4 linked regions of the Macaca fascicularis genome follow. The protein of the gene in region 2 purifies or fractionates together with the protein of the main gene of each other region. This does not show direct contact. Links are inferred from orthologs where the notes say so. Each region holds a gene or a part of one and is shown on either strand. Other genes may lie near its edges.

Evidence for each region.
Region 1: the proteins of COPG2 (region 2) and COPZ1 fractionate together in Homo sapiens (co-fractionation; 5 studies listed by BioGRID and IntAct, with this or other methods). This does not show direct contact. The link is inferred for Macaca fascicularis from reciprocal best matches to the Homo sapiens genes COPG2 and COPZ1.
Region 3: the proteins of COPG2 (region 2) and COPB2 fractionate together in Homo sapiens (co-fractionation; 4 studies listed by BioGRID and IntAct, with this or other methods). This does not show direct contact. The link is inferred for Macaca fascicularis from reciprocal best matches to the Homo sapiens genes COPG2 and COPB2.
Region 4: the proteins of COPG2 (region 2) and NUDCD1 purify together in Homo sapiens (co-immunoprecipitation; 3 studies listed by BioGRID and IntAct, with this or other methods). This does not show direct contact. The link is inferred for Macaca fascicularis from reciprocal best matches to the Homo sapiens genes COPG2 and NUDCD1.

The regions. Positions count from the first base shown.
Region 1 is NC_088385.1:61,190,357-61,195,582, forward strand, and holds part of COPZ1 (coatomer subunit zeta-1), read left to right. Parts: intron 1-350; coding exon 351-419; intron 420-2,338; coding exon 2,339-2,420; intron 2,421-3,377; coding exon 3,378-3,469; intron 3,470-5,226. UniProt on the Homo sapiens protein: The coatomer is a cytosolic protein complex that binds to dilysine motifs and reversibly associates with Golgi non-clathrin-coated vesicles, which further mediate biosynthetic protein transport from the ER, via the Golgi up to the trans Golgi network.
Region 2 is NC_088377.1:172,181,710-172,187,533, forward strand, and holds the start of COPG2 (coatomer subunit gamma-2), read right to left. Parts: upstream 3,751-5,824; 5' UTR 3,696-3,750; coding exon 3,659-3,695; intron 3,436-3,658; exon of another isoform or gene 3,234-3,435; intron 2,576-3,233; coding exon 2,523-2,575; intron 1,966-2,522; coding exon 1,885-1,965; intron 1-1,884. Other genes in the region: TSGA13 (testis-specific gene 13 protein), read right to left, coding at 4,041-4,210. UniProt on the Homo sapiens protein: The coatomer is a cytosolic protein complex that binds to dilysine motifs and reversibly associates with Golgi non-clathrin-coated vesicles, which further mediate biosynthetic protein transport from the ER, via the Golgi up to the trans Golgi network.
Region 3 is NC_088376.1:42,212,617-42,217,842, forward strand, and holds part of COPB2 (coatomer subunit beta'), read right to left. Parts: intron 3,536-5,226; coding exon 3,449-3,535; intron 3,243-3,448; coding exon 3,116-3,242; intron 2,257-3,115; coding exon 2,108-2,256; intron 1-2,107. UniProt on the Homo sapiens protein: The coatomer is a cytosolic protein complex that binds to dilysine motifs and reversibly associates with Golgi non-clathrin-coated vesicles, which further mediate biosynthetic protein transport from the ER, via the Golgi up to the trans Golgi network.
Region 4 is NC_088382.1:118,840,344-118,845,569, reverse strand, and holds part of NUDCD1 (nudC domain-containing protein 1), read left to right. Parts: intron 1-2,479; coding exon 2,480-2,662; intron 2,663-5,226.

The sequences.
Region 1 (5,226 bases), on a different chromosome or scaffold from region 2:
TTCTATAACCGCCTGTACATGGGAGAGCAGGAAGGGAGAGGGTAATTTGGAAAATAACTGTACCATAATATTTGGAAATAACAGCATGACTTCTCTTGATTAAGCCCCCTGTGCGTCAGAGAAACTGTTTCTCTGATGGTACTTTGGAATCCTTTGTTTAAATGCTTTCTCAGTTTACTTACCCTCGGTCTTTCTCAATGGGAAATATCAAAATCTGACCATGTTGAGGTAAGGGACTTACAGAGGTACCTCTGTATCCCCTTGCAGCCCCAATGGGACTAGGGGAAGGTATCTGGTTTACCAGTGGTGGTGGGAGCCTCAGGACTGAAGGTGTGTTCGTATCTCTTCAGGAACCTTCCCTGTATACTGTCAAAGCCATCCTGATTCTGGACAATGATGGAGATCGACTTTTTGCCAAGGTGAGATTCCCTTTTGAATTAGTTTAGGAACAACACAAAGGTTTATTCTGAGATTTGAATCTTGGGACTGATCCCCTATTAACTCATGTTGCTCAGTAGTATAATTTTGAGAACACTTCCATCTTTTTTTTTTTTTTTTGAGACAGAGTCTCGCTCTGTAGCCCAGGCTGGAGTGCAGTGGCGCGATCTTGACCTGGGCTCACTGCAAGCTCCGCCTCCCGGATTCACGCCATTCTCCTGCCTCAGCCTCCTGTGTAGCTGGGACTACAGGCGCCCACCACCGCGCCCGGCTAATTTTTTGTATTTTTAGTAGAGACGGGATTTCACCGTGGTCTCGATCTCCTGACCTCGTGATCTGCCCGCCTCGGCCTCCCCAAGTGCTGGGATTACAAGCGTGAGCCACCGCGCCCGGCCTTTTTTTTTTTTTTTTTTGAGATGGAGTTTCGCACTTGGCGCCCAGCCTGGAGTGCAGTGGCACAACCTTGGCTCACTGCAACCTCTGCCTCCTGGGTTCAAGCAATTCTCCTGCCTCAGCCTCCTGAGTAGCTGGGATTACAGGCACACACTACCACACCCGGCTAATTTTTTGTATCTTTAGTAGAGACAGGGTTTCGCCATGTTGGCCAGACTGGTCTTGAACTCCTGACCTCATGATCCGCCCGCCTCGGCCTCCCAAAGTGTTGGGATTACAGGTGTGAGCCACCATACTCAGCCTGAATTCTTCCATCTTATCTTGCCTACTCCAGATAAAACCTGTTTTCTTTTGTCCCTTTGTTGTACTGCTGCCCTGCTTACTGTCCTCAGACTTTGACCTCCTTTGTTGTCAGCATCAGATTAGGAAAAAGCTTTGATACCTTGGTTCCTAACAAAGCAGTATGTAGATGCTAAGAGGCAGTCTGCCCATGTCCATCATTCCTGTCCCCTTCTCTTCTACCATGTCACCCTGCCTGGGTTTTTCCAGAGAATTCTCTTGCAGTTCCAAGGTTCCATTCCTAGGTCTATAGTCACCATCAAGCTTGTTACCTCCTGACTTTCCCAGAGTGATGTTTTCAACTTTGGATCTGTTGGAAGAAAGAAGAAAGGACACCCCTCTCTCCCTCCATATTCTCCCCCTCCTGTAGAAATTTCTTCTGTCCCTGGTGTATTAACTCAGGGCGAGCATAGCATAAATCAATCAGCAGGTAGAGATTAGTTTAGAATTCACCAGCTGTTCCTCCCTGTAATTGGATGTAACTATGCAGGACACCTTTTGAAACAGTTATCCAGTTACTAAATGCCAGACCTGTCATAGGTCTTCAGCTGACTGCAACGGATTAGCCCCTAAAGAGCTAGCGATTTAGCAGCCTGCATCTCCGCCCCCTTGCCAGGGAGAGCCTGGGAATGGGCTCAGTGGTATGCTGGATGCTTCTTTCAGCTTGCAGAAAAGAAAGCTAAGATAGACTATAGGGCAGGGTTTGCCTTTCTTTGGAGGAGGTTTTTGTAGCCTTTCCCCATGCCTCAGCTTCATACAGTGAGTGAGGGTCTATGGAGGTGTTCTGTGCTTCTAGTGTTTTTTGTGTTCTCTGGCACTGTTTCCTGACATGGGGTAGCTCCTAGGAAACACTTGATGAGAATGGTTTAGGAGAGGTCTAGATTGCAGACAGGCACAGAGCCTCACCGTAGGGCTGGTAGGCTTCTGCCTTCAGACAGTCTTAGAAATGTGAGGTGGGGTTGCTTATGGCAGGATCTTTTATTTATTTTTCTTAGATTACTCACTGCCCATTCTCTGCCTCTACAGTCCTTCCTTTTCCATGTCAGTATTTCTCCCTTGCCCCATGCCTTGAAGGAGAGAAATCCAAGATCCCAGGGCAAAGCATAGTCACTAATCATTCTGGCTTCCAGCTGTAGTGACCCAACCCTGTCTCCTTCCCTCTGACCAGTACTATGACGACACCTACCCCAGTGTCAAGGAGCAAAAGGCCTTTGAGAAGAACATTTTCAACAAGACCCATCGGACTGACAGTAGGTCATTTTCCTTTCACTACTCCCCGTGTTGTGGGGAACCATGGTGGAAAGGGGGTGGTAGCAGGGCTGCGGAGAAAGGATAAAATGACTCTGCCTCCTTTTTTTTTTTTTCCTTCCTCCCCTTGTATAATAAACTCTTCAGAATGTAATGGGGAGGTGAGTGTACCTCACGCGGGAATACCATGCTGGAAGGTTGGCTGTTAGCTACCTGTCTAGTCCCTGGATTTATGAGCCTCACTTGACAAATTTAACTGCAGCTCTGCTTATTGTACCGCATCCATTAGGGCAGGTAAATGGAAGTCTGTAAAGGTGACCGCTCTGCATTTTCACCTCCGAAGGATCGACTAGTATCCTGTCTCATATGCAAGGAGGGAAATAGGTATAGTGGGCAGGAACAGAGGATGGTGGTTAGAGAAGATACATTTAGACTCCCCCAAGTTTATGCTTCTCTTCTGCCACCACCCAAGAAGTGCAGATCATCTTCTGGCTTTGGAGGTCATTACAGTTGGCCTCACCTTAGCCCAAAACAGCTGGATACTAGGAATTCACGGTAATAGCTTTTTTTTTTTCCTTTTTTTTTGAAATAGAGCCTTTCTCTGTCACCTAGGCTGGAGTGCAGTGGCACGATCTTGGCTCACTGCAGCCTCCGCCTCCCAGGTTCAAGTGGTTCTCCCATCTCAGCCTCCCGAGTAGCAGGGATTACAGGTGCACACCACCACGCCCGGCTAATTTTTGTATTTTTAGTAGAGATGGGGTTTCACCATGTTGACCAGGCTGGTCTTGAACTCCTGACCTTAGGTGATCCACGCGGCTCAGCTTCCCAAGGTACTGGGATTACAGGCGTGCAAGGTGCTGGGATTACAGGCGTGAGCCACTGCACCTGGCTGATAACTCCTTCTTTCCTACTTCCTCATCTCAGGCCACCCACTCTTTCTACTTTTTTTCCCCCACCAGGTGAAATTGCCCTCTTGGAAGGCCTGACAGTGGTATACAAAAGCAGTATAGATCTCTATTTCTATGTGATTGGCAGCTCCTATGAAAATGAGGTAAGAATCCCTACTACCCCTTTGCTATTTCTGATCCTACTTTCTAAACCACAGGCAGTACATAGCCACTGGTTTGGGGCCCTGATAGAGCCGTGTTCCTCTAGCTTCTGACCAAGTTAATGAAGTTGTCAGAGATCCCACCAGCCTCACAAACATGGCCCGGCAAATGAATCGCCTAGAAAGGAAGTTTTCCTAGATTGATCTTTTATATCCATTAGGAAACATCATATATGTTTTAATACCCTTCCCTGAGTAGTATTTTTTTTTTTTTTTTTTTTTTTTTTGAGACGGAGTCTTGCTCTGTCGCCCAGGCTGGAGTGCAGTGGCCGGATCTCAGCTCACTGCAAGCTCCGCCTCCCGGTTCTACGCCATTCTCCTGCCTCAGCCTCCTGAGTAGCTGGGACTACAGGCGCCCGCCACCTCACCTGGCTAGTTTTTTGTATTTTTTTAGTAGAGATGGGGTTTCACTGTGTTAGCCAGGCTGATCTCGATCTCCTGACCTCGTGATCCGCCCGTCTCGGCCTCCCAAAGTGCTGGGATTACAGGCTTGAGCCATCGCGCCCGGCCCGAGTAGTATTTTTTAAGATGGATTTCTGAGGTATGGTCAAGATTGCAGGGAGATACTTGCTCCTTCTATGAAGGGTCCATACCTGACTGAGTTTGAGCCAATTAGCTAACAACCTGGGTCGTGTTGAAACCATACATTCTGAATGGGTCACTTGAGAAGACCTTGGGTATAGTCCTAACCTGCTTCCTATATACAGAAAAAGCTATTTGCCTCAGGTAGCAAATTCTAGGAGAATAGATAAATAAAAATAAGCCCCCAGATAATTTGAGGCAAAAGTCAAAGTTTGAGAAAGTCAACTCTTACTGAGCTCTTATTATTGGTATAAGTGCTTTGTAAAGTACATTGTTATTTAAACCTTGCAGCACTTCCATGAGTTGTAGGCATTAGTGCCTTTGTTTTACAAATGAGGAAACCAAACCATGAAGAACCATAAGAAATTACTTGTGTGTGACCCTTGTGAAAACTACAAAAGTGGCAGTTTGATGTAGTTTAACCTAATAACTTTCTCAGGGTCACACATGTAGAAAATGGCTTAGCTTGGATTCAAACCCGTATCTGTCTGACTTAAAGTCCATGCTTTTTAAGAAATTTTGAGACATAGGCCGGGCGCAGTGGCTCATGCCTGTAATCCCAGCACTTTGGGAGGCCAAGGCGGGTGGATCACTTGGGGTCATGAGATCGAGACCATCCTGGCTAACACAGTGAAACTGCATGTCTACTAAAAATACAAAAAATTAGCTGGGTGTGGTGGCAGGCATCTGTAGTCCCAGCTACTCGGGAGGCTGAGGTAGGAGAATGGCGTGAACCCGGGAGGCGGAGGTTGCAGTAAGCTGAGATCGCGCCACTGCCCTCCAGCCTGGGCAACAGAGCGAAACTCCGTCTCAACAACAACAACAAAAATTAGTTGGGTGTGGTGGTGGACGCCTGTAATCCCAGCTACTTGGGAGGCTGAGGCAGGAGAATTGCTTGAACCTGGGAGGTGGAGGTTGCAGTGAGCTGAGATTGCGCCATTGCACTCCAGCCTGGGCGACAAGAGTGAGACTCTCAAAAAAAAAAAAAAAAAAAAAATTGAGACAGGGTTCTTGTTCTGTCTCCCAGGCTGGATTGCAGTGGTGCAGTCTTGGCTCACTGCAACCTCTGGCTCCCAGGCTCAAGTGATACTCCTGCCTTAGCCTCCCAAGTAGCTGGG
Region 2 (5,824 bases):
GCACACGTATGTTTATTGCAGCACTATTCACAATAGCAAAGACTTGGAATCAACCCAAATGTCCATCAGTGACAGACTGGATTAAGAAAATGTGGCACATATACACCATGGAATACTATGCAGCCATAAAAAAGGATGAGTTCCTGTCCTTTGTAGGGACATGGATGCAGCTGGAAACCATCATTCTCAGCAAACTATCGCAAGATCAGAAAACCAAACACTGCATGTTCTCACTCATAGGTGGGAACTGAACAATGAGATCACTTGGACACAGGAAGGGGAATATCACACACTGGGTCCTATTGTGGGGAGGGATAGCATTAGGAGATATACCTAATGTAAATGATGAGTTAATGGGTGCAGTACACCTGCATGGCACATGTATACATACGTAACAAACCTGCACATTGTGCACATGTACCCTAGAACTTAAAGTATAATAATAATAAAAAAAAGATAAGCAAAAATAAAATCAATAAAGTTATAACAGACCTGAAAAAAAAAAATTCAAGGAAAAAAAAAACTGGGTTTGTACTGAACATGTACAGATGTCTTCTTCTTGTCATTATTCCCTAAACAATACAGCACAACAACTATTTACACAGCACTAACATTGTACCAGGTATTATAATCTAGAGATTATAACCTAGGTATTATAATCACAGAGATGACTTAAAATATATGGGAGGATATGTGTAGGTTATATGCAAATACTACACCATTTGTATGAGGGACTTGAGCATCTATGGACTTTAGTATCCAATGGAGGTCCTGGAACCAATTCCCCACTGTTATTGAGGGAATATGAATCCATGAAACAAAATCATATTTTCTAAGGCCCTAGACATTACATGAGTTTTTTTTTTTAAAGTCTGGGGCAAAAAAAAAAAAAGAAAATTAATAACAATAGTAGCAGGCAGAATCTGTATTTCATGAGTGCAAGTATTTTTTGCTGGTTTTGTCTGCTATATCCCCAACACCTAAAACAGTGCACAGGACACAGCAGCTATGCAATAAATATTTGCTGAATGATGGAAGGAAAACTATTCCTGAATGCTTACTATGTGTTCAGTACTATTCTCAGTGCTTTACACTAATGATCTCATTTAGTCATTACAACTCTGTAACAGGTATTATCATAATCCCCATGTAGAGAAAAGGACATCAAGGCACATAAAATGGTTAAGCTACTGCCCTGAATTATTTTAATAGCAATGGTGAGGTAGGGATAATAAATATAAAATCTGAATATTAAAAATCAAAGCTTTAAAACATCATGATTACACACAAAAGAAAGAAAATACCTGGAATTTGCCTGATCTTGCACTATATTTTCAGAAAAACATGAAGATCTCCAAACACATGTAAACAATATGTTCTAACTAGTACTCATTAAACTGAAACCAAAGGATTTATTGAGAATCTACTACGTGCATCACTAGCTTAGGATCTCAAGAATGAAGAAGAAGTACAGGTTAAACATCTCTAATCTCAAAATCCAAAATCTGAAATGCTCCAAAATCAGAAACTTTTTGAGTGCCAGTATAACACTCAGTGGAGACACTCATTGGAGCATTTTGGATTTCGGATACTCAGAGCAGGAACAGCCAGTATGTATTCTGCAAATGTTCCAAAATCCAAAAAAATCTGAAATCTAAAACACTTCTGGTTCCGAGCATTGCAAATAAGGTATACTCAACCTATATATGTCATAGTCCTCATACTCAAGTCTTACATATTATTTTGTTAACCAAACGTTATATATGTTAAAATTAAGTGAATTTAAAATAAATAAATATTTACACTTTCCAGAAAGTATTTCATTGAATCTTCAGTATTTGTATTCCAGGACACACTTATCTGAGGAAAATAAAAGTAATTTACCTGGTTTAGTAAGTAAAGAATTTTCGTAAGAATATGCAAACATCTTCTTGGATTGATTGGAGTTTCATTGAATATACGAGCCTATGAAAAAACATAAAAAACACTGTTATTTTTCTACCTTTTCTATCATAGATTATAGCAAATCAACTTTAATACAGACTATTTTTAATCACAGTATCCAAAGAACATGGTCTATAGTTCTCAATTTACTAAAGCATCTGATAAATTATTACATGTGGCCCTGATTTTCCATCCTATTTATTTCTAACTCATTCCCTTAGGTTGACTACTTCAACTTTACGGGCTATACCAGTTAAATAAGGATCACAATACTGATCTGTATCATACTAATACAATGACATTAATACAGATAACTGATTTCAATAACCTTGCACTAAACACCCCTTCTTATATTTAAAATTCCCAACCTGTAACAGTCTTCATGTCTTTGCATTTCTATAAGCTCTAAATTCTCGTGTGACAAGTAACCCCTCTTCCTTTTCCCTTAAATCTATATTCCCTAAACTCTGTTACGTTCCTTATTTTGGGTGTTGTGATCACAGTAGCCCAGGAATTCGCTGCCCACCACTCTAAAACAGAATAGAAAAGAAAAGGCACAAAATGCTTCCCAGTCATACCTCCTGTAAAACAGCACTCTTCTCCAGATGCTGGAAAGGATTTGAGCCACTACCTATGTATAAAACAAAAAAATGTCCTGAATAGCTGTTTTACACAAACTTATGTATTTTCCAGAGAAGGGTACTGAATGCTTGGTAAGTGAACACTTGGATGGCACAGTGATAATCATTGCTAATATGCATACAAACTAAATGAAATCATTCTGATCCTGGCTCCGTCACTGCCACACTCGAAGAGCTGAGACTTCTCTTTTGCAGCAACCCTCTCCAAAATGAGTGTCTTCTTTCCCTGCCCTCTTTTTCCATGAATGTTACAAATGTGTCATTTCCACAACGAAGATTAATGAGATTGTGGTAGGGTGCTTCTGATTTCCTTAGGTAAGCACTAGTTTGTGTGTTTCTAACACTTAAGGAGAGGCAGAAACGAAGTTTCCCAGAGAATCACGCAGACGTAAACCTTCAAGAGGTCGTGGAGGTTGATTAACCCAACCCCCTCTCACACCGTGGGAGATGCTACCAAACACTGGGATTTTTTTCTTTTTGAGGATGCTTGGCATCTTCCCCATTTGCTCTGGACCAAAGACGGGTATCAAAACGCAGGTCACTTCTGGACGCCTGAGCATTCAACGAGCTGTGTCCCAAGGCACAGTCTTACCCCCGGGGAACCGGACAGAGCCTGGGGTCCCAGGAAAACGATAAGGTACCAGGCACCTGAATGTTCCTCCACACACACACCCTGTGCCGTCGACCCCAGCCCCGGGAACAGGGTGCTCCCACTCGGGGTCCGACCCTACCAGTACCCCTGGCCGCGGAGACGCGCGCACGCTCTCGCCCCCGCCGGGGGCCCGCGCGAAGGGGCGGAGGCGGCTCGGAGCGGATGCGCCGCAGCAGGAGCGGGGCGCGCGCGGGCGCCGGGGCGGGAGCGCGCGGCCCGAAGGGAGGCTCCGGCGCCTGGGGGAGGGGCTACGGGCAGGCCCCCGGCGGCCGCGAGGGGAGGGGAGGGGCCGGCTCCAGCTCCGGCCCCCTGGCACGCCGGCGCCCACGCCCCCAGCCCCGCCGGCCCGAAAGCAGGTGGCGGCGGGCGGGGGAAGGGGCGTCCCGCGGCTGAGGGTGGGCCTCGGAAGCCCCGCGCGTACCAGACTCCTCGTCCTTCTTGTCGAATTTTTTAATCATCTTGGACGACTTCCCAACGCCCAGACCCACCGCAACCGTCCCAGGCGCCGCAGCCGGAGAGCGGAAGAGGCTGCAGGAAGGCCGGCCCCGCGCTCTCACGCCGGTTGGGCCGCCGCGCCGTCACTCGGGGCCAAGGCCCGCCCTCCCCGGCCTCCCTCGTCCCCCGGGGACGCAACCACGCCCTCTCCTGCTTCCGCAGCCGCCGGAGGCTTGGGCCAGACCCTCCCGGCCCGTGACCCGGGAGCCCACGCCCGCAGCAGCAGGAATGTGGTTTTATTTGGTTGGCGACCTCTGCGGACCCCTCAGTCTCAGGAGAGCGAGGCGGGAGGACTGAGGGTTCTGTGTTCACCCGATGACCGTGGCCTTTTTGATAATCCACTGCGGGGCCCTCCCGTTGCGGAAGGCGCTCTCCCCGGGCGCGGTTCTGGTGGGCATCTCTTCCAGGAGCGATGCGAGTGTCAGTGGTTCCCGAATCACCTTGGAAATCGGCCTTTCACTCGCTGACTTCTTGGAAGCTACGACAAAGCACAGGCACCCTGGTGAACGTGGCTTTTCAGAAGTACTCGAAGGATGCTTAATGTGAGATATGAAGGAGACCCACTTGAAGGGACCTTTAAAGGCTGGTCTTTAAAGATTTCGGACCGTGTAATACCATTCCCAACCTATTTTATAGTTTTTGGATTCCTTCATTTCATCAAAACCCAGTGTAAAACACACTGCCTGTTTAGAGCCTTCTTTGTTCAAGCCTACTTCTTCCAGTGATTCCGTCTGACACCATATTGACACTTAAGAAACTCTCTAAATTAACGTGCATTCATTCCTAACTCATGTTCCTCTTTCTGAGTGTATGCTGGCTTTCTGTTCTCTTGTCTAAGAGCGTGGCTAAGAAACTTTGCCTTTGGCTTCAGTGGCATTACTGTTTAGAAATGTAAATTGAGTCTATACTCAACAGGATCGTGCCCCTGCAAAATTAGAGAAATTCTAACCTAGATTACATTCTACATCCTAGGGAAATTCTTTCCCTTAAATATAGATTTAAGATGAACTGTTGATATCCTACATATGGTATCATTTAAGATTTACCTCCGGCTTGGCTAAATGTACTATTATTAACTACTATGTTTGCTTTATATGGCTTGTAAAGTTCAAGTTATACTTTGTAGGTGGAGTTTTCCTTGAAGGAAATAGAAGTCTGCACGCATTTATTCTGGAGGTGAAAATAAATAGGCTTTGGGGAAGGAAACATCCTCTTCCTCTTCCTTGGCCCAAGAGTATTGGGAACCTAGGCAGACACAGTGTAGATAATAGGCCCAGAGGTTCCCAAGAATGGGTAATGCCCCGGAGACCTGCTGGGAAGTAGAAGGACCTGAGTTCACATTTGAAGCTGACCCTAAGACTAGCCCCTTGTAAAGCAAGATAAATCATTCTCTGCTGTTCTTCAGCTTTTCTGTGTATCTATGAAGTTTTGTTTAATACCACAGGTTGGTTTTAGCTGTGCAGTGTTTACGGAATTAAGAGCAGCAGTAGGTGAAAATGGGGTGGGGTGTGGTGGCAAATAGGTATAGCAGGAGCAGAGAAGCCTGAAGAAGCCAGTTAAGGGATGGTATAATATGACTCCAGGTCTCTGGTATCAGGACTATTTGGACTGAGGATGGCTGGCAAAGGGGTTGAGCAATCACTACAATGGCTTTGTGGGAAAGGCAAGGATACTTTAGGGAGTCTCCGAAATTGCTTGAGGAGAGAAAGCTAGTAGGAGAAATGAACCTTGTCTTAAAACCATGAGCTGGTGAAGTCTGAGGACCCACCAATTATGTATCTAATCACAAATGTGTACTCAGTGCCCTGAAATTCTTCATTGGGTCCAAACTGCCTACTGAATAAAATCCAAACCCTTATTTAAATAATAAATTTAAGGCATTGTGGTATTTTTGATATTTTGTTATTGTTATTTTTGTTATTTATGTTTTGTTATTGTTGTTCGTTTTTCAGACAGGGTCTACTCTGTTACCCAGGCTGGAGTGCAATGGTACAATCACAGCTAACTGCAACCTTAAACTCCTTGGCTCAAGCGATCCTCCTTCCTCCAGCCCCCCAAGTAGCTCAGACTACAGGTGCATGCCACCACACCC
Region 3 (5,226 bases), on a different chromosome or scaffold from region 2:
AAAGTGGATTTAGTAAGATATATTAAAAGTGGCTAGGTGTGGTGGCTCACACCTGTAATCCCAGCACTTTAGGAGGCTGAGGTGGAAGGATCACTTGAGCCCAGGAGCTCAAGACCAATCTGGGCAACACAGCAAGACCTTGCCTCTACAAAAAAGGAAAAAGTAAAAAGTTAGCCGGGCGTGAAGGCACACGCATGTAGTCCTAACAACTCAGGAGGCTGAGGCAGGAGGATCGCTTTAGCCCAGAAGTTTGAGGTTACAGTAAGCTGTGATCATGACACTGCACTCCAGCCTAGGCAACACAGACCATAACTCAAAAATATATAAATAAATAAAAATGAAGATATATTTAAAGGAGAAAATTACTGCCTAAAAATTTAAAATGTAGAAAATTGTTAAAAATTACCACAGCACAGAATTAAGCTTTATCTTTACAAATATTTACTGAGTGCCTACCATATGGGAGGCCCTGTGGGGAGTATAAATATGTGTAACAAATGTTTATCAATTACTGTATAAAATAAACTTTACTGGAACTGAAGATAAGACAATTCTTGCTCTCAAGATAAACCTAATTTAGTAAAACAAAAGTTTACAACTAATTTCAAAGTTAATCTATGTCAAAAGCAAGGAAAATCCAAAGGCAAAATAACTAAGGTCAAAACCCTAAGATATTCAGACACATAACATTTTACATAAAGGAAAACTAGTAACAGTGTTTTATATAGGTGAAAGCAAGCGTGTAAGCAAAAGTTAATTTATTTTAATTCAATGCATATGGAAATATTTTATTTTATTTATTTATTTATTTATTTTTAGATGGAGTCTCGCTCTGTCGCCCAGGCTGGAGTGCAGGGGCGTGATCTTGGCTCACTGCAAGCTCCGCCTCCCAGGTTCAAGGCATTTTCCTGCCGCAGCCTCCTGAGTAGCTGGGACTACAGGCGCCCACCACCACGACCAACTAATTTTTTGAATTTTAGTAGAGACAGGGTTTCACCATGTTAGCCAGGATGGTCTTGATCTCCTGACCTTGTGATCAGCCCGTCTTGGCCTCCCAAAGTGCTGGGATTACAGGCGTGAGCCACCACGCCCAGCATGGAAATATTTTAAATATTATGATTTAAAAAGGGAGCATGATTGCCCTCATTGCAACATGTATTAAGCACCTAGATCAGGTAAGGCACTTTGCTGTTTGCTACTGAATGTTTGGGGAAAGGGAGTGACACATAGTTTCTACCCCCAAAATTCAGTATTTCAGGGGATAAAGATTTTCAAAAACATGTAATTAAAATTCATTCTGAGAAAGGCTGAAACAGAGGCAAAAAGCAATGGAAGAAATGGGATAAGCATAACTGGCTCTGCCTAGAGATGAAGTGGATGTCTGACAAGAGCTTCTCAAGAGTAAATATTTGTGCTAAGCCTTAAAAGCTGAGTAGTTCTCCGGAGGAAAAAAATATCAAAACAGGAAAATAAAGAGAAGTGCAGGCAGATGGAAAAGTTCAATGAAGTAAGGTTTTGTGAACATTCATGGCCTCTAGAGGATGGTGAGTAGACCAGGGTTTTAGGAGATGTCGCATAATATTAGCCCAGGCTAGTCTTGGAAATCCTTGTATTCCACACTAAGGCATTTGGACTTTATCCTTAGATCAGGAACTGACAAGATGCAATCTATGTTTCAGGAAGATAACAGACAGCAATGTGGTGAAATGGAGTAAGAAAGACAGAATAGAGGCATATGGAATTTAAATGTAAAATAGATGAACGATGAGCAGAAGTCAACAATGAATACTGAAAGGAGAGGAAAGTAGTATCCTAGAAAGGATACTGGCATTTTTCTTATTCTGGGTTTCCAAAGGCTAAAAAATTTTTATAACATGCTGCTTCCACACAGAAAAACACTCCTCATTAAGAGCACTGAGTTGCCACAATATTTTTCAAAACAGAACATGTCCTTTGGATTAAAATGAGAAATCCTATTTTTACTTCAAAATAGACTTTTGAAAAAAACTTTTAAGATGGATCAATTTCTGGCCAGTCAATAGTAAAACACCTAAGGCAAGTATAGTTCACTAATAATGATAACTGACACAAACTGTGGACACCCTACCTTGATAGTCCTGTCCAAAGAGGCACTGGCAAACTGATTGTTATCTTTGGGGTTGATCACAATCTGCATAACATAATGGGTGTGTCCTTCAAACACTTGTGAGCAAGACCATTTTTTATCCCAGTCCCAGAGCTTAATAAGCATGTCATCTAGGCCAAAAGAAAGTCTCAAGTTAGTTGTGATTTCTATTTTTTCACTTCATAAGTAAGACACAGTCTTTAGGGGAAGCAAACCTAACATAAACCACATAATCCATGACTTACAGAAATAGAATCAAAACCAAATAGCGTTTTCAAAATGCTTATTTATCTTAAAAATAAATTTAACTCTCTACAGAAAAGTGGAGATAAAATAAATAAAATAGATTAGAAATAGCAAATATAAAAATTTTGTGAAAAAACTTAAAAATTCAGTGAGCATTAAAGAATGAGCAAAGAGTCATACAAGTTTGATTAGAATCTAAGCGTGACTGAATACTGATAGCAATGACTATGTAGAGAACAAGCATTTGCCCTCACAAGACTGGTTTTTAAAAAGTTTTAAATTACTTCTCAATTTTTAATTTAAACACATTTCAAAGAGCTATTACCAATTCAGTGCTACCTCTTTTGCCAGTCCTCCAAGAGGTCTACTATTTATACACAATACCAAGGAGCAAACTAGTTTGAATATGAAGATTGAACTGACTAGGCTCTATGGCAATCTGCCAAAAACTCACTCATCAACATGTAAATGACCTTTCTGTTCAGCAGATGTTTAAACATCTAGACTTGTAGGTCTTCTCTGACAGGAATTGGAGCAATCATTACACAGATCCTAAGTACAGTTGATACTTCATTAAAGTACAAACACAAGCAGCATCAATAGCACAGTAATGGATCTAAACAGTTTAAAGGCTGCTTGGAATTAGAATTCTATTTGTAACAGCAGTTAAAGAATAGCATGTCTCAGTGAATGAAAATGAATTACCCAAAGAGACGCACATGACCAAAATAGGTCATCTCTTACCACTGCTAGTTAGAATGAAAGGCTGGGTTGGATGAACAGCAATACAGCGAATGTAGTCTGAGTGTGCTTCAAACATATGAACTCTCTCCAGAGTATTGTAATTGAACACTCTAATCTGCATGTCATCCTAGAAACAGAAATTTTAAAACTATCATCCCTATTATCAAGTAAATTATACAAAAAAACTGCATCACAGGCTCAAGGAATGAAGTCTATGCTTCAAAACAGTGCTGTAACTAACAAAACAAACCAGGAATCGAAATCCTGCAACTAACTTACATAATCATTCACCAATTCAGAAAACGGGAATAGAGATTCATATTAATTACTTACTGCTCCTGTCACAACCCAATTCTTCCTTGCAACAAACTTTGCAGCTCGAACAGGAAGATCACATACTTCAAATGTCTTCACCAGTGTCTTTAAAATGTAAAAAGAATACACAAATTGAGCTGTAAGAAAATAACCACAAAATCTACTCTGTTATATTTCAAACATCCAATTTTTAAGATCACTTCTCATTTTAATATATTTTCAGGCTAAAATATAAAAGGTCAACACTAAAATTTTTTAAAAAGACAAATTATCTTTTAATAGATTCAAAATTAAAACACTTTTTAAAAGACAAGAGAAAGCAAATGTCCACAAGATGGTATTCCAGATCCTCTGTGCTCCAGCCCTTCCCTCTCTTTTCTAGCCTCACCTTTGGCTACTCCCAGCCTTACCTCTGCTCTTGTTCTCTCTGCCTTGAAAATCCACCCATGGAAACTTGTACTTCCCTTTCATAATGTAGCACCTCATAATTATGTTTGTGCGAATCTTTCCTGCCAAGCTCTCCAAAGGCAGGAATATTTTTCACACTGTATAGACAGAAGCTAGAACAGTGGCTGGCACACTAAATTAGTGTGTAATAAGTATTTGTTGAATGAATTAGCTCTTAGTTTTTCTTTTTTTCTTTTTTTTTGAGACAGTCTCACTCTGTCACCCAGGCTGAAGTGCAATACAGTGGCACAATCTTGGCTCACTGCAACCATCGCCTCCCAGGTTCAAGTGATTCTTATGCTTCAGTTACCCAAGTAGCTGGGATTACAGGTATGCGCCACCATGCCAAGCAAATTTTTGTATTTTTCGTACAGACAGGGTTTCACCATGTTGGCCAGGGTGGTTTCGACCTCCTGGCCTCAAGTGATCCACCTGTCTCAGCCTCCCAAGTGCTGGGGTTACAGGCGTGAGCCACCACACCTAGTCAGTTTTTTTGAAATTGAAACCCATAAAAGTGACTCATGAATAAGGTACAATTCTTTTGCATGCTTTAGCAATATGATTCCATACAAATGTTATTATTTATTTTTTTTTTTAAATGAAAACACAGTGACCTGTATTTTCCTCTGAGCTACTCAGAATGGAATTATACACACAGGATAAAGGTAGAAAACTAGAAGACCCTCCTAGAAAAAGCAGAGATAATGGTATACCTCTATGTTCTCCTTCTTTGATGCCTGTTCTTAAAAGTCTGAAAGCCAAACTATCATTTTCCAATCCTTTTTTGTATCAGAGAGCAAAAAAGAAATAACTAAGAAACCAATATAATCTTACTGCTTGATTAACCATGTGCACTAAAAAAGTAATAGGGACCGGTTCATAAGAACTGTCCCACTCTGATTTTTCAAGCCAGAGTTCAAAGATTCTTTAGACAAAGGCTGAATGAGTAGGCACTTCAACTCCAACCTGCAGAATCACTACCAGCTGACTAAAATACAGACACTGAGAGTAGACAGAACATGCAATCTGTAATGCAGCAGAAAAATCCACAAAAGCTCATGAGGAGCCAACAAACTCAGGGATCTAAGCAGTAAAAATAAAGCAGCTGCAGAGCAAATAGCCAAGGCTCAGCGCCATGTTAGGGGCTATGACTGATGCAAATGAAGAGTAAGAAAAGCTACACATGCGATACATACAAATGTTCAATGTAGATTAGGAAAGTATAACTAATGACTAATACTTATATGGTACTTAGGTTTCATATACAATTTTATCTAATTTTATCTTTTTGACAATCCTGTGACATAGGGAAGGCAATAATATCATCTTTACTTTAGATAAATAAAGAG
Region 4 (5,226 bases), on a different chromosome or scaffold from region 2:
AAACTGAATAAGTCTCCTAGATTTATTCTTTGAAGTATTCAATATAATTTATTAGTTCTTTTTGGTGTTGTAGTTTTATCTCTGGAGGAACACAGTAACTTTAAACTTTAAATTAGATATTAGAAAACTTTTTTGAAGTCCCAGTTGGTAACCATAAGATCTATGTCACAGCTATCCAAGTATGCCGACACAGTGCAAAAGCAGCCATAGACAATATATAAATGAATGAGTATAGCTGTGTTCCAATCATACTTTATGGACATTGAAATTTGAATTTTATGTTTTTTTGACATATATTTAAATATTCTTTAAATATTACCATTTTAACAATTTAAAAATATAAAATTCATGCTTAGCTCATAGGCCATACAAAAGTAGACCTAGATTCAGCTTTGACTCAAGGGTCCTAGTTTGCAGAACCCCTGCTTTGGATAATGGAAACCTTAATTTTTTTAAGGTATATAATTCAGAATCTTACAGGAGACACTGTCATGCATATTCCTCCTCCTTTCTCCAAGACACTTGCTTCTGTAACATCTTTTTCTCAGTCTGTGGTAACTCATCAAATTGCCTCAAAACATAGCAGTACTCTGCTCCAGCTCTATCTTCTCCATCCCCTTTGTCTTCATTTCTTTGCCTCAACTGGACAGATACATTGAGACTAACCTTTTTTCTCCCAAGATTGTAGTTGTAGAATCATTAATTCTCTTTATTGTTCCCTTTATCTTTCTTTTATATCTTGTTCCTTCTCTCCCAGACTATTACTAATATGATTTTTTTCTTTTTCTTTTTCTTTTTAATTAACAGAACTGTGTTTTTGTAAACTATTTTGAATGAAACATTTCATAAATTATATTTATGGTCACATAAGTTTGAAAATGTGGGCATAAAATAACTCCATTACATATTAAGCATATTAAAGTTGCTAAAAATTGTGAGTAAAAAAAATTTAGGCTAGATGCAGAGGCTCATACCTATAATCTCAGCACTTTGGGAGGTCAAAGCAGGCAGATCACTTGAGCCCAGGAGTTTGAGATCAGTCTGGGCAACATAGTGAGGCCCTGTCTGTACAAAAATTACAAAAACATTAGCTCGGCATGGTGGTGTGCACCTATAGTCCCAGCTACTCTGGATGCTGAGGTGGGAGGATTGCTTGAGCCTGAGAGTTTGAGGCTACAGTGAGCTGTGATCGTGCCACTGCATTTTAGCTTGGGCAACAGAGCAAGGCCCTGTCTCAAACAAACAAAAAAATTTATGCTTAATTTTAACCTAGCATTTCTCCACATATTTAACCATGGAATCCAGTGTTTTAGAATTCCTATTCCTTTCTGTCCCATGCATGTTGGGAAAGGCCACCCTAGAAATATGTAATGTCTGTGTTTGGATCTTTAAAGTCGAGTAGGACTTTTGGCCCTGCTTGTATCTATAGGGGAAGTGTAGGAGTTTTGTTCATTCATTAAATTACAAGCCTGTCCTTAAATATGTGTGAATTGAATGTGTGAATGTAGGTGAGGATTTTGAGTAAAACCAATGAGATATTTTAGAACAGATGGTATTATTATGTAAAAACTCATAATAATATGACATTGAGTTGTGATGTTTGACTACTCAGTATGAAGCCTACAAGTACAACCCACTTTAAAGAGTAACAGTATAGGTAAAAGTATGGAGTCAGCTAAAATATTTGAGTACTTTTTAAAGCAAAAAATTACTGTCTTTATAGGAAAATAAATTCAATTTGTCAGAAACTTTTGGAATACAGTTAATTGTTTATATCTTAAAAGTAGCACTAATTTATGTTTAATTATAAGCATATAGATAAATGTCTTGAGTGGGTAAAAAAAATTATTTCTGCTATAAATTTATTTCATTGTTAAAATGCCCCTTATCAGGAGTTAGAGCAGGCAGAAAAATAGTCCACACTGCATGTTTCCCCTTGTCCTCAATTTGTGACTTTTCAGAAGATGCTTATCACATACCTGCTGAGAAGGCAGACAGGCTTTAGTCAAGGAGAGGTAGGTCATACAGAAGTTGTTATTCCAAGTAAGCCAGTCATGTTGGAGTTCTGGGGCACTGCTGTCTAATAGAGATTTCTCCAAGATGGACATGTCTTATATGTGTACCATTCACTGCAGTAACTACTAGCCATGTGTAGCTGTTGAGCAATTAAAATGTGGCTAGTGTGACTGAGGAATTTAAATTTTACTTAATTTTAAGTAGCCACTTGTGGCCAGTGACTACCACATTGGACAGGACAATCAGGAATAAATTTCACCAGACCCAGCATTTTAAAATAGGGACTTATTTACAGAAAATTAGGTTGTAAATTGTTTACCTTATGAAAAGACTCTTAATAGTATACCTTTTAATAGTACATTAAAAGTATTTAATTATAATTAAAATCAATATTTAAGTATCAGAATGTTTTGATAATAGTTTTTATTTGTAATGTTTTGTTCTAAAATACTTTTTCTTACAGATAAGAAAAAATATGAAATTATTAAGCGTGATATTCTCTGTGGAAAGTCAGTGCCACATTATGCTGCTATTGAGCCCGATGGAAATGGTCTAATGATTGTATCCTACAAGTCTTTCACATTTGTTCAGGCTGGTCAAGATCTTGAAGAAAATATGGATGAAGACATGTCAGAGAAAATCAAAGGTAATTTTTATTCTTAAAAGTACTTGTTTGTATTTGCGTAAACATATATTTGTCTTTTGTTTTCCCAGTTAATAGTTCTACACGGGCAAGATAAATGCATAATTTTTTCTTTATTTTCTCATATATTTTCCAGAAGTCTTTTGGAACGTATACCACCGTAATAGTGTGAATGAACTGGTTTAATTTGATCATTTTGTTATTACCAAAATGTTTTTTTAAAAATCGTTTATTAGCTTTCTTGATTAGATGCTTAATAAATAGTTATCAAATAAATAAATAATGTCTATTTGCTATTAGTATTGATGGTATTAATAGTGTAATATTGAAGATACTAATTTTTAAAAATAAATTAAGCTAACCTACCTGTTCTTACCTTTTATACTAAACTGAAAGTAAGTTCCTTGAGGGCAGAATCACATAATTTTATCAATGTTGAATGAATGCATGAAGGTTATGTTTTAGCATGAAAAGACTGGCCAGACACAGTGGCTCACGCCTGTAATCCCAGCACTTTGGGAGGCCTAGGCGGGCGGATCACAAGGTCGGGAGATCGAGACCATTCTGGCTAACACGATGAAACCCCATCTCTACTAAAAGTACAAAAAAAAAATTTGGGCACAGTCCCAGGCAACTGTAGTGCCAGCTACTTGGGAGGCTGAGGCAGGAGAATCGCTTGAACCCAGGAGGCAGAGGTTGCCGTGAGCCGAGATTGTGCCATTGCAGTCCAGCTTGGGCGACAGTGAGACTCTGTCTCAAAAAAAAAAAAAAAGATAAGACTAACAAGAAATTTCAGAAGAAATTTATATTTGTAAATAAAGAACAGACATTCTTTAAAAACTATTCAAGAGAACATTCCTCTGTAATAATTACTGTTCATATTTCTGATGTTCATAGCCAGAGAATAGTATATTTTACTTAACAGAGATTTTTACAATATTTAATACTTATACATATTTTTCTTTGAATCTACCTTTTTTGTTAAACAAGTTAATTATTTAAAAAAATTGGTTTTACCTTTTTATTTTTAAGTGAAATCACATTGATTAAGAAAGTAAGGAAATAAAAGAATGGCTACTCCATAAGCAGAGCAACCTAGGTTTAATATTTTTGGATGCCTTAAAAAATGAATTATTTGAAAAATATTTGAAAATATTAATGTAGTGTATAATTGAAAAATATTTTCCACAGAGTTTATAAATATATGCACCTCTGAATACAAATCTTGAACTTAGTAGGCCTTTAGACTTTTAACACCTTGGTTTCCTCATATGGGATTCGTTTTTTGTTAGATTATCTCTAAGATCCTTTCCTGAATAAATGTTACTATTCTGTCTAATTAGGATGCTAACCTCATCTAAAGCTTAGCCAGAATAGCTATTTATTTCTCTAGATCATGTGTCTTTAGAATTCCTTTGGTAAGCAATTGTGAGGGAGTAGAATGAATGCCTTAATCTTTGGAGCCATTCTGCCCAGATAACTTGGAACCATGTAGTTCCAAGAGAGATTGAAGCCTAAGTGGGACACATCATGTGTTTAAATTACTACCACAGGTATTGTTTTTCTTGATAACATCTCATGCTATATCTTGACTTCCCCCCAAATTCATTGTTTATTTTGTCATAGGATTTTCACAGTAATAAAGGAAAAGTGTTGTAATTTTTAAAAATTATGGGTAGTTTGGTCATTGATTGGCATGTGTAATACTTTCTGAATATTAATATATATACTGGTTTCCTTTCTGTTAACTTCAGGAAGACTGGTATTATCTATTGGCTGTTTGGCATTTTAATAATATGTTTTTAAAGACCTAAAACACAATCTCTAAAGGCATAGAAAGGTACTCAAAGAAACCAATAATTAAGAAAATTATTTCGGTGTTTGCATACATTCAACAATGTATACAGTGGAGAGGTGATTAAAAAATTGTGACTTTCCCTTTAGTCTACATCCATGGCCTTTAATTAATTAATACATTTTTAAAATTTCAACTTTTATTTTAGATTCAGGGAGTACATGTGAATGTTGTTTTACCTGGGTGTATTTGCATGGTGCTGAGATTTGGGGTACGATTGATCCTGTCACTCAGGTACTGAGCATAGTACCCAACAGTTATTTTTTAAACCCTTTCTAGCCCCTCTAGTAGTCCGTAGTGTGTGTTGTTGCCATCTTTATGTCCATGAGTACCCAGTGTTTAGCTCACACTTATAAGTGAGATCATGTGGTGTTTGGTTTTCTGTTCCTGCACTAATCTGCATAGGATTATGGCAACTTGCTATATTCATGTGTCTGCAAAGGACATGATTTTGTTCTTTCACCTGGCTGTATAGTATTCCATGGTGTATATGTGCCACATTGTTTTTTTCAGTCCGCTGTTGATGGCCACCTATGTTGATTCCATGTCTTTACTGTGGTGAATAGTGCTGTGATGAACATACTAGCCCATGTGTCTTTTTGGCAAAAAAATTACATATATATATATATATATCCAGTGTTGAGATTACAGGGTTGAACTGTAGTTCTGTTTTAAGTTCTTTGAGAGATCTTCAAACTGCTTTCCACAGGGG